Linked DNA regions of Rhinolophus ferrumequinum. The protein of the gene in region 2 interacts with the protein of the main gene of each other region in a biochemical or structural test. Links are inferred from orthologs where the notes say so. Each region holds a gene or a part of one and is shown on either strand. Other genes may lie near its edges. The genes, in order: MAGI2, CRHR1 and MAGI3.

Region 1 (3,745 bases), on a different chromosome or scaffold from region 2:
GGGTGTGCGACTTTTTTTTCCCTTGTCTTAAACATATCCTTTGAAAGTAAGGCAAACGAAATTAATTTACCAATTACAGAGATTTTTAAACCACTCCTAACATCTCACACGACATTTGCGTTGAGTGATAATCAGCATTGCTCCTGCATCCCTGTGCCTCAGTCCTCACCTCTCCTCCTGGCTGCAAACTTGGCGAAGGGAAGGAGCCTGGTGGTGGGCCAGCTACCTGAGTGCCAGCCCCCATTCTGCCGCTACGTTCACCCTCGGAGCCGGCCTTCTTTTCCTTCGCAGTCGGAGGAAGTTGTCGGGTCAGATCACCTTAAGGCTTCTTCCCAAGCTACCAGCCCGAATCTGCGGGCATTGCAGGGTGAGGGCGTGCCCCCGCCGTCTCCGCTGCAGTTCCCCGGTTAAACTGTCCATTTCTCTGGGGAGGCTGCTCACTGCACCCCCCCACTCCACACCCAGCCCCTTTCTTTCCGCTCCTCCCAACCTGGAAACCCGAAGCCCCTTTCCCTTGATCCCGGGAATCGCCTTTCTCCAGACACCTCCTCCCTCAGCCCGACGCGTGGGCTCAGCCTGCCCCGGGCAGGGGATGCTACCTCGCCATCCCCGCTGTCAGGGGGCCCCGCCTGCAGTTCTCTTAACTTTCCGCGCCTCCGATGGGAAGTCTGAGAACTCTGCCACGATCTAACCGAAACCGCATAGAGACTGAGTCTCTCTAAACAGCGAGATCCTGCGCCCCCCGCGGCTCCCAGCGCCGAGGCCTCTCCCGCAGCTCCCCAGCGGGCCCGCAGTCAGCCCTCTCACGGCCGGATTCCGCGCCAGGGGGGCCGGCGGCGCTCCAGCTGTAGCGCCCGCACCGCGGCGCGCTCAACACGCGGTCTCGCTAGTTCTGCTCCAGCCCATCCCGCGTCTGAGGCAGACGGAGCGTCCTCGCAGCGCCGCAGCCCAGCGCACCGCTCGGCCGCCGGCAGTCTGCAGAAAGGTCCGCACTGGGCTCGCAGCCCTGCCTGCCCGTCTTCCCACGCCGGGCCTCGGCTCCCCACCTTTCCCGCTCCCGCCTCCTCTCGCAGGCTGCCAGGCGGACGCAGCCTGCCTCTCTCTCTGCCTTCACTACCGGGTCAAGCTGCGGAGGGAGGGAGGGGAGACAGCGGCGAAGCGGTCCCCCACCCGGCGCGCGCGCGCCCCTCCTCCTCTCAGCCTGCCTCCTCCCCTCCTGCCAGTACTGTACAACTAGTGCACACACACACACACACACACACACACACACACACACACACGGACCCGCCGCTGCCACTGCAGCTGCCATGGGTATCAGCTAACACCACACACCCAGGCGCGCGCGCGCTCCCACTCGCACCACGCAGGAGTGGCCCCCGGCATCCCTACCCTCCTTCCCCACCCCCACTCCACCCGCTCACCAGCTCGGCTACTGCTCGCTCAGGCTGCCGCCGCCGCCGCCACCACCACCACCACCTCCTCAGCTCTCCTCTGCTGCGGGGCCACAGCTTTGAGTGTCATTCAAGGGACAGCACAACCTCACCCAAGCTCTCCTACCTCTGCCCAGCCGTCCCTCTCATCCTCCCCCTTCCTCGTCCATACTCCATCCAAAGAAGAGGGAAAGCACCGAACAGAGGGGGAGGAAGGCAAAGTCTGCTCTTCTCACCTCTTGGCCCCCTTGCTCCTCCATCCTCATTCTCTCATCGCCAATCCCCCTACCCAAAGGAACCCCTCAGGAGCTGAGGCGACTCGCCCCACTGCCATGTCCAAAAGCTTGAAAAAGAAAAGCCACTGGACTAGCAAAGTCCATGAGAGTGTCATTGGCAGGAACCCGGAGGGCCAGCTGGGCTTTGAACTGAAGGGGGGCGCCGAGAATGGACAGTTCCCCTACCTGGGGGAGGTGAAGCCCGGCAAGGTGGCCTATGAGAGCGGCAGCAAGTTGGTGTCGGAGGAACTGCTGCTGGAGGTGAACGAGACCCCCGTGGCGGGGCTCACCATCAGGGACGTGCTGGCCGTGATCAAACACTGCAAGGACCCCCTCCGGCTCAAGTGTGTCAAGCAAGGTGAGCGCAGCGGCTTGCTCCGGGCTTTGCCAGGCAGCTGGACCGCTCGAAGCGCGGGGCAATGGAAGGGTGGGCTCGCTGTGGAAGGGGGTGTGTTGCACGGTGGTGGGGTGAGGTCGAGAGAGTACCGGCAGGGCAAGTGAGCTTTGCGGAGAATCCGAATCGGGGCTAAATGGAAGGGAGGGCAGGATGCGGTGTGGCGTGCAACTTTGTTTGCGCAGTTATACCCTCCCCGTTGGAAGGTGCTCGGCCTTGTCTGACCTCAGAGGTGCAGGCGAGCTCCAGGGGCAAACTGAATGTGCGTCAGTGGCATCGCCCGCAGTGGATGAAGAGCTTTCAGGGACGGACGGAGGAAGGAAGGGAGGGAGGATGGGAGAAAAAGGGAAGAAGGGAAAAAAGAGGGAGGGAGAAATGGAAGGAAGGAGCAACTTGAGGGTGCAGCGGCATCACGAGCAGGGCAGGGCGGAGAGGAGCGGAAGGTGGCTGGGCGAACAGAGAACTACGCCCCCCTCCACCCCCTGATTTGGGGATCTGGACCGCAGACTCCTTGACCCGCAGCCATCTCCTAGGAATCCCTGAGCCACTAGTTGACGAAGAAGAGAAGGGACCGATTGCTTTGAGCGCTTTGACCGGTCTTCCTTAACTTTTCCCTGCTTCACTCCTCTGTCCCCCGCCCCCGTCCACAGTCAATCACGTGAGCACCGCGCGTCACGTGCGCACTGACTAACCCCGGAGCTGGCCCGCTGGAGCAGGCTCTGGAAGAAGGCGCGGCACCGGGAGCGGGTTGTAGGGTCAGGGGTTTGGGAGGAGAGCAATGGCTCCCCGAATGAATGTTCTGTACTCAGTGGTTGCCCTCTTTGAGTGGAAGTTCTCTGTGGTTGGACTCACCTCTGCCTTCCGATGGGGACAGGGGTCAAGTTTCTAAGGAGTTATAGGGAAAAGCTCAGGCCACCTATCAGAGGAGCTTCATTTGAATGCTGTGATGAGGACTTAGGGAGACTGGAATCTTGGCAGAACGCTCCCTAACTCTGTCTTCGCATGAAAGAAAATGATGGTCCTGAAGCAGGGACGAGTGCGAAAACGGTTTCTTGGAAAGAAGACAACTTTAACTAGAATAAAGTAGTGTATCTTTGTTTTCCACACGTGATCGCATCCGTTTACAGATCACCGGCACACTTCATGTGGGGTGGGAGGGTACATATGCGTGTTCACATCAATGCAAAGGTTTGTTGGTGGGGTTCCATTGGTTGTCCCGCCTCAAAGATGGAATTGAGCATGTCATTGCCTGCCTTTTGAACAAGCACTTATCTTACTTCGTGAAAACTGTCAAGAAATACTCTTAGGGAGATGTTCTTCTCTATAAAAATAGGTTTTAAAGGCAAACATGTGGAAAAGATATTTCAGGTGAAATTTCTTGAATGTAAATTGTCATGCAAGAAAACGTTTTCGTTGGGGATTCTTGAGTATTAATAGCTGATGACTTGAGATAGGCTAATTTAAACATTGACTTGGAGGTCAACATTGCTTAATAGTGTATGAAATTGAAGAATATGAGTTAAGTAGGAAGGCAAATAGAGTATTTTGGTATTTTTCAAGGTGATATGCCCAATTGTCAAATATGGGGATTCATGTTAACCTATTTGATGTCATGATACTGTCTTATAGCAATAGATTTAAATGCG
Region 2 (3,745 bases):
CCCGTCTCCCCATCATCTTGGGGTTCCCAGGTTCAGCCCCTTGCCCAAACTGGGCAGGCACTTAGTCTGTAGAATGAATGAATGGATGAAGGAGCGAACGAATGAGTTGAGTGAATGAACGAGAAGGATTCCACCCGCAGAGCTTTCGCGTCTCTGTGAGCACCTGGCGTGTCAGTGCCAAAGGCTCTGGGGGTTCGGCCCAACTCCCCCGCCCTGCTGAAGTGGGAGCCGCAGGAACCTTCTCGTGGCCCGCTTCAGGGCGGGAACGGCCCAAACGCAGTTCCCATTTCTTCACCCGGTTTCCGCCGCGGCTCTGCTCAGTAGGGGCTGCCCTATTCCCCAGCCTCCAACAGTCTTGCTCTCATAGATTCACCTGAGTCCGCCAAGTCTCCCCCAGACTGCCCTGGACTCCCCGGGCCCCGATTTCAAGCCGGGCGAGAGGCCGGAGGCTGCCTCTGCTCCCGTCCCTCGCCCCCCCTCGCTCCCCCCGTCTCCTGCTTCTCCCCCCGGCTGCGGCGGCCGCCACCGCTGCTAGCGCGCGCCCCGCTGACTGCCGCAAACCCTGGAGCTGGGAAAGGGGGTCAGCGCGGCGAGGGTGCGGGAAGCCGGCCGGGGGGAGAGGAGGGGACTGGGAGACAAGGTGGAGGAGGAAGCAGAGGGGCGACGCGCGGAGGAGGGACTGAAGTGGAGGGGAGGGGAGAGAGATTGAGGGGAGGGGACGCCGCGGCGAGGGGGCGGGGAGCCGAGGCGAGTGGCGGCGTGGACCCAGGGGGAGACGGCGGGGGTGAGGCGGCCTCCCGGCGGGCAAGAAGCGGTTGCCAGCGGGGCTGAGTCAGGAAACGGCGGCCGGACTTACCCGGGAAGGGAAGAGCGAGAGCACGCCTGGCGGGGCCGGGCAGCCACAGAGGAGCCCGGCCGCCCATCCCATCCTCCTGAGCCCGCGACCGCCGGCCCGCCCTTTTGGGATGTCCGAGGGACCCAAGCACTCAGGACGGTGACCGAGCGACCCAAGGATGGGACGGCACCCGCAGCTCCGGCTCGTCAAGGTAAGAGCGAGCCGGTAGCTCTCGAGCGCGGGCGCGCTCAGCCCCGGGCCAGCGCGGGACGTGGGTGAGCCGTGTTGCTGGCGGTGCTGGCGGTGGTGGTGGTGTCAGTGGGCAGAGCTGCGCACAGGTCTGGGCGCGGCCGGGGTTTGAGGGGCTGCCCAACTCCCTCTCCCTGGACCTTTGGAGGCGTTGGGTGGGTGGAGGGACAACACAGGTGAAAAAAGAAATCGCGGTGGCGAAGCTGCTGGGATGTTGGCGGAGGAGGGGGTCCGCCCACCCGGGTAACCGGCTCTGTGCAGAGAATCGCTTTAGGCTTTGGGCGTCCAAGCTCCCACCCCTCCCAGGCAGACCCCGGCCCCGGGACAGGGGGCTCTGAAGCTGAGCTCCCTGCCCGTCCCATACCTCTCATCAGCAACCCCTCTCCGCACGCCCCCTCCCTGTTCCTGGGAGCTCCTTCCTGCCCCTTCCCCTGCGCGGAAAGATGCAAGTCCGGGGAGATGAATGTCACCCGCGCCTCGGAGCCCTTGATCAATATCGCAATCTCGGCGGCTGAGACGGTGCATTCGGAGGTGGGTACTGTTCTCGCGCGGCCGCCCGCCCGCCCGCGGGAGCGCAGCGCTCGCTCTCCGAGTCTTTGCACCGGGCGCTGCGCAGTGGGCCGTGAAGGCTCGCGCCTGCCTGGGGTCTGGCAACGCGATTCTGGCGCCCGGAGTTTCGGAAAGTCGCCAGACCTCACGTCCAGCGTCTGCCCGCTGAAGTTCGGGGGCGGCAGGGGGCTGCCCGCGGCGGTGTGGGTCCGGGAAGGGCTGGGGATAGACAGTCCGGCCCGCGGCCACCTAGTGACAGCCTCCACTCCCCAGCGCCCAGCGCTTCCCAAAGCGGTTCGGCTTGCAGGGTGAGGGCACGTAAGCAGCAGACGGAGGGAGAAGGCGGGTGGGCCTACGCGCCGCCGCGGGGGAGCCCGGCCAGGCTCTGGCCAGAGGATCCGGACTCGGCCGGGTTGATATGGACGGCTTGAGTCACAGACGCAGACACCAGCGTGACGGGGTTCAGTGCGTTTAAAAGCGATTTCATTCAGAAGAATTGAGTGGACTGTGGGGAAGGGTGCGGGTTGACTTTTCATTTTCCCATCAGTTATTAAACCAACTGTACGCATACCAACTCACAAAGTGGTTTGAGGTAAACCACCGAGGTTTTAAAACGCAGCTGTTCTCAGTTCATCAGTTGAGAGGTTACCAGTTACCGAGGCTTCTCCGTGTTCTCCCCCCGTGTCCCAGATATTTATAAGTTGTTTTGTGGGTTTTGTTTTTAATGACTGAGGGTTGGTCCGATTGAACCCACATCCCCTTCGCCACCCATTAACTGAGTACTGGGGGTGAACCTAGAGATTATTTTCTGGGTGATCAAGGAGATCTGGAGAGGGAGGTACGAAGAAAAATATCCAGAGAGGATGAATAGATGGCACTGAATGGGAATTTTTTCCAAAAGATTGGTGTGGACTCCCGGCCTTGGTCGAAATTCACAAATCAGTTAGACCGAATTCAGTGTCTTAAATGGATTCAAAGGATTGAACTGTAGACAGATTTTGTTTGTTTGTTTCTTTTTAAGTTTACTTGGTAATAAGTAAATGTTCTTTCTTTTTGGCCTTTCTGAGAATCGTGTGCAAATCACTGCCTAAAATTATCATGTTTTCCTAAAAGAAAAAAATATTTTTTCTGTTGTTGTTGTGTGTGTGTTTTTCCTACTAGATGATGAGGTATGTACCCTTTATGTCTGATCTAATGAACTCAGTAAGTGCTCAGTAAATACCGAACTGAGTGAGAGGCAGTGAGTGAATGGACAGCTAATGCTGGTTTCAGTTAAATAATTCTTTTTTTTCTTTATGCACAACTTGCTGGGTGTTGTTCTACCTGCTTTGCAAATATTACATCATTTAGTCCTCATAACAGCCCTAGGAAGTAGGAATTATTACTGAGGCACAGAGAGGCTAAGTAACTTGTTCAAGGTCACACAGCCAGTAAGTGATGGAGCCAGAATTCAAACCCAGGCACTGTGGCTCTAAGGCTTTGTTTTGTTAGCGTTTACCAGAAAACATTCTAAGCCATTTAACTCTCATCCTAGACCTCTGCCAGATGAGAGTTCAGGTAGTTTTGTCAGTATAAAATTACGAATCTAGGGGAGTTAATCCAAAACCCAGCTCTGTCCCCAGCAAGTCGGCCAGTGTTGGGCAAGAATCCACTCTGCAGCCCTTATTGTGGGCCTTGTACTGCAGAGATTACAGAGAACTGGGGCAGAGTAGGGGTGGGGTGGGGTGGGGAGAGTATGTGGGGAAAATGTGTGTGAGTGTGCATGAGAGAGAAATGTGTGTGCGTGCATGAGAGGGTGGTTGTGTGTGTGAATGCGGGAGAGATGTGTGTGTGCGTGTTTGTGGATGCGAAGGAGGAGATAAGTGAAATATTGCCTCTACACCCAAGGGAGCGGGGTTCCAGCGCATCTGGGTCAACCTACCCACTAGCCACAACTCCCTGAAGGAAGACCCGAGTGTAACTCAACACCGTGGGTTCCGGTGAGTGTGAAGGGTGGAGAAGGCAAGGCCTGGGTGGGTTATTAAAGGAGAGTGAGTTCTGAAGAAGGAGCTGGTTTTCTTGCTGTTATTATTATAAAAGTAATCTAGCCACGTTACACAAAGTTTGGAAACC
Region 3 (3,745 bases), on a different chromosome or scaffold from region 2:
ATCTCAGATGACACACCATGGTATCCTTTAGAAGTTACTAAAGCAGAGTATATCTTTAAAAAGTGTAGTATTTAACTTTTATTATTTATGATTACAAAACATGCCACACCTATTAATATAAATTATTCCCTTTATTTTGGCTAAATATTTAAAATAGGACAGTACCAGCAGTTGTCAAGAAGGTAAAATTTTATTACTATAAAAATGTCAACTCCATTCTGGAACATCTGATGTTTATTCAACACAATTAATATTAGTAAATACACTCTGAATTATTTTCTTAAATTTGGTACAAAGGGTGAGAAGACGTATAATATGCAGATCAGACCAATATTAATGATACATCTCCCCAGTCTTCTATCAACTTCCTCTTCAATCAAGTTTTAAACTAGTTTTGAAAATACAGTTATCTATGCCCCAACTAACCAAAACAAAACACAAAGCAATTATGCAGATTTTCTCATTATTCCTCGACTCATGGAATTTGAACTAAATGGCACCTAGACCAGTAAGTTGCGTGTGTGTGTGTGTGTGTGTGTGTGTGTGTGTGTATTTAAGATTCTGCATTTTACAGACAGTGCCTGACTGGCTGAACTACATACAGTTCCAAAGTCTTTCCTCCACTCTTCACATATGGCTCTAAAACTTTGAGTTAAGAATTTCTGAATTCACAAACTGGAAAAGATGTTCAAAGTCTGCCAAAGTTGTTATATTTTTAATTAGCAACAACAAAAAGAAAACTTCACATAAACCCATAAGCTTAAAATGAGTATGATGGAATAGAGCATCTGAGAAAAATCTTAATTGAAGATTGCAAGAACATGTGAGTGTGTGTGTGTGTGTGTACGTGTATACACCCACAATACACACACATAGGTATAATGCACCACAAACCATCAGTTCCTATTAAGCCCAAAGGACTATAAAAGAGGTATTTCCAAAGTGAGCTACTGAGAAAGAAAGAAAAAAAAAGCGAGGGAGATAACGTCAAATTTTTTCCCAGAATTTTCTAGCCTTTTGCAGTGAAGGGATGGATTGATTTTTCTACCCCATCACAATTAAGCAGCTCATTATATTTTGATGCATTGTATATTCAGTAGAGCACATTCAGCAAAAATAGTTTGATTATTAATAACATTGTAGTCATAATTCTCTCTCCTACAAACATCTCAGAAAACAGAACCACATTCTACCACCGTTGAAACGCTGAAACCGACCAGCACTGTCGTCGATTACAAATACGTCAAGTCTATTATATACTATCAGATTTCGCTGTTCAGTCTGATCAGTGCTTTGAAACTGGCATGAATGCCATATGCGAAACGTGCTTTCCAGCAGATTTTACTATCATACGAGACAACAGGGCAACAGGGACTCTTTTTTTGCCCACTTCAACAAATTTCTGTAAAACCAAAGATTTACAAAAGATTTTCCTCAGCGAAGCACCTAGGTCTTCCCTTCGAACCCCAGACTATTCAACAGCTCCCTGCAGGAACACACCACTCGGCCACGCGTCACATATTGTACACCATCAGTACCCAGACACCTGAACCACCTGGCTGGCAGAGTGACGATGTCAGCTCCAAGGTGTTGCTAGTGTGCAAGAAACACTGAAGCAGCTAAGCCCTCCCAGGTACACTAGGTGGTAACGTTGGCACCAAGTGCCTCAGTAGTAAAGACCTCTTTCCCTGTTGGAAAACGCGTAAGATTGTTCCAAAGACAATGTTACAATCATGAGGACCTTATCCACAAAGGAAAGCAGAAAAGAGCTGGTTTTCTCTCGAGTCAAAAACTCTGTGGTAGGAGACGGAGCTACAAATTTAGGCAACCCAGCTTCTGGTCGCAATTCTGACAGCTCCCAGAGCAACCCTGCCAAGCCAGAGCTCAGTTTTCCCAAAGGCAAAATGGGAATCACTACTGCCACCCCTCCCCCTCGCCCGGGAGTCCGGCACACCCTAGAGGTCTAAGATTACCCCACACGATAAACGGTGGGGAGGGGCCGCTGCTCCCAGGACACCCACCCCGACTTCTCCCAATCCCCACAACAGAAAGGCAGGGCCGATGTACCTGGCTTCACAGTCTTGAGACGGATGGGCTCGCGGAAGTGGCGGATGACAGCCAGGGTGTCCCGGTGGGTGAGCCCGCTGACAGGCGTCCCGTTCACCTCCAGCAGCACATCCCCGGGGCTGGGCGCTTTGCCCGAGACGATGCAGCAGGTGCCCCCGCCCGGTTCCTCACGGAGCCGCCCCAGGTAGGGGAACTCGCCGCGCTCCGCGCCGCCCCGGATCTCCGCGCCCAAGTCGCCCGGGGGCCCGGCCCAGGACACCGCGCACTCCTGCACCTTGCTGAGCCAGTGCTTCTTCTTCTTCAGCGTCTTCGACATCCCGAACCCCGCTGCACCATGGGGGAGACCCCGCGCCGGCGGCGGGGCCCCAGGAGCCCGCGCAGCCCGGCGAGGGGGGCCTCGCCGCTCCGGCACCCCCCCAACCACAGCCCACTGGGGGCCGGGCCACTCCACACCCCGAGACACCCCTCGGATGCCCCTCTCGGCTGTGCTCCCTGGGACTGGCTGGGCTCTGCGAGGGCCACCCCGGGTTAGGCTGCAGAAAGGAGAAGGGAATTGTCTCTGGGCAGCCCCGGAGGGGTTTCGGGCGGGGTCACAGCAGCCTGCTGGCCCCCGGGCTCCGCGCCCGAGCGGCGGGAAAGGCTGAGCCTGGGAGGGCGGGGAGGTGAAGGGGGAAGAGCCGGGATGGGAAAAATCCGTCGGGGGCGCGCAGAAGCAAGCGTAGACGCGTGGCTGGATCGATCGCGGCCGCTGCGAAGCTGGAGCACGGAGACCAACGCCTGCCCCAGCTGCCAGGAAACTGCCGCTTTCAAACCCGCCGCAACCTCCTCCTCCCTCTCTCCCTTCCCCCCGCCCTCGCCCATCCCTCATCCAGAGCCCCGCCCCCTCCCGCCGCGCGGCGCCCGGCGCGCTGCCGTCACAGGCCGGGCGCTTGGGAACGAGCCCCAGCCCTCGACTCTTGCGCGGGGGATTGGCCCCCGGCAGGCAGGGGATGGACCCTCACCGAGAATGAAAACCACCAATTGGTTGGTGGGAGTGGAGGAGGCGGGCACTAAGATGACTGAAGTTTAAAGAGGGTGGAAAAAAGAAGTTTGAAGAGTGAGGGAGGGCGAGGGCGAGGGGAGGGGCAGGGGAGTGGAACCCGCTCCAGATCTCAGGGCCGAAAGAGGCCCTCCGGCAGCAGCTGGAGCCGAGAGAAAACTCGGTTACAGAAGAGCGACCAAACTCCCCGAGGTGGAGGCGTGGCTGGCTAGCCGGGTAGAGGAGTCGGGGGCGGAGCCTGGAGCGGCACCAAGAGGAACGAGTATACTTTAGACCTGAGACTACTCGCCGAGTCCCTGGCCGGAGGTGGCGGGGCCTCCAGGGTGAGCTGTTACAGCGGATCACTTACACTGAGTCTTGTTCGTGCATTCATGCAACAAATGTTATTGAGGCTGGGACTCCAGAGTCCATTTGATAGAGGGTAAAATAGAGTACTGCACAATGCTGTGTGACCTCAGGCAAATTCGACCACCTCTCTGAGCCGCAGCAGCCTTAGCCGATAAGTGGAGGTGACTCTGTCCCTCCAAGTTGTCGGGAAGATTACATGCAGTACTTACCTGCACAGTGCTTGGCAGGGAGTGGATGCTTACCATTTGGTAGCTGCTGCTGCTGCTAACATTATGTCAGAAATTGTGCTAG

Evidence for each region.
Region 1: the proteins of CRHR1 (region 2) and MAGI2 form a complex in vitro, tested with the Homo sapiens proteins (2 studies listed by BioGRID and IntAct, with this or other methods). The link is inferred for Rhinolophus ferrumequinum from reciprocal best matches to the Homo sapiens genes CRHR1 and MAGI2.
Region 3: the proteins of CRHR1 (region 2) and MAGI3 form a complex in vitro, tested with the Homo sapiens proteins (2 studies listed by BioGRID and IntAct, with this or other methods). The link is inferred for Rhinolophus ferrumequinum from reciprocal best matches to the Homo sapiens genes CRHR1 and MAGI3.

Annotation. Positions count from the first base shown.
Region 1 is NC_046303.1:44,643,042-44,646,786, forward strand, and holds the start of MAGI2 (membrane-associated guanylate kinase, WW and PDZ domain-containing protein 2), read left to right. Parts: upstream 1-1,285; 5' UTR 1,286-1,762; coding exon 1,763-2,063; intron 2,064-3,745. UniProt on the Homo sapiens protein: Seems to act as a scaffold molecule at synaptic junctions by assembling neurotransmitter receptors and cell adhesion proteins. Plays a role in nerve growth factor (NGF)-induced recruitment of RAPGEF2 to late endosomes and neurite outgrowth.
Region 2 is NC_046304.1:40,821,825-40,825,569, forward strand, and holds the start of CRHR1 (corticotropin-releasing factor receptor 1), read left to right. Parts: upstream 1-1,074; 5' UTR 1,075-1,543; coding exon 1,544-1,615; intron 1,616-3,745.
Region 3 is NC_046305.1:44,417,678-44,421,422, reverse strand, and holds the start of MAGI3 (membrane-associated guanylate kinase, WW and PDZ domain-containing protein 3), read right to left. Parts: upstream 2,892-3,745; 5' UTR 2,384-2,891; coding exon 2,068-2,383; intron 1-2,067.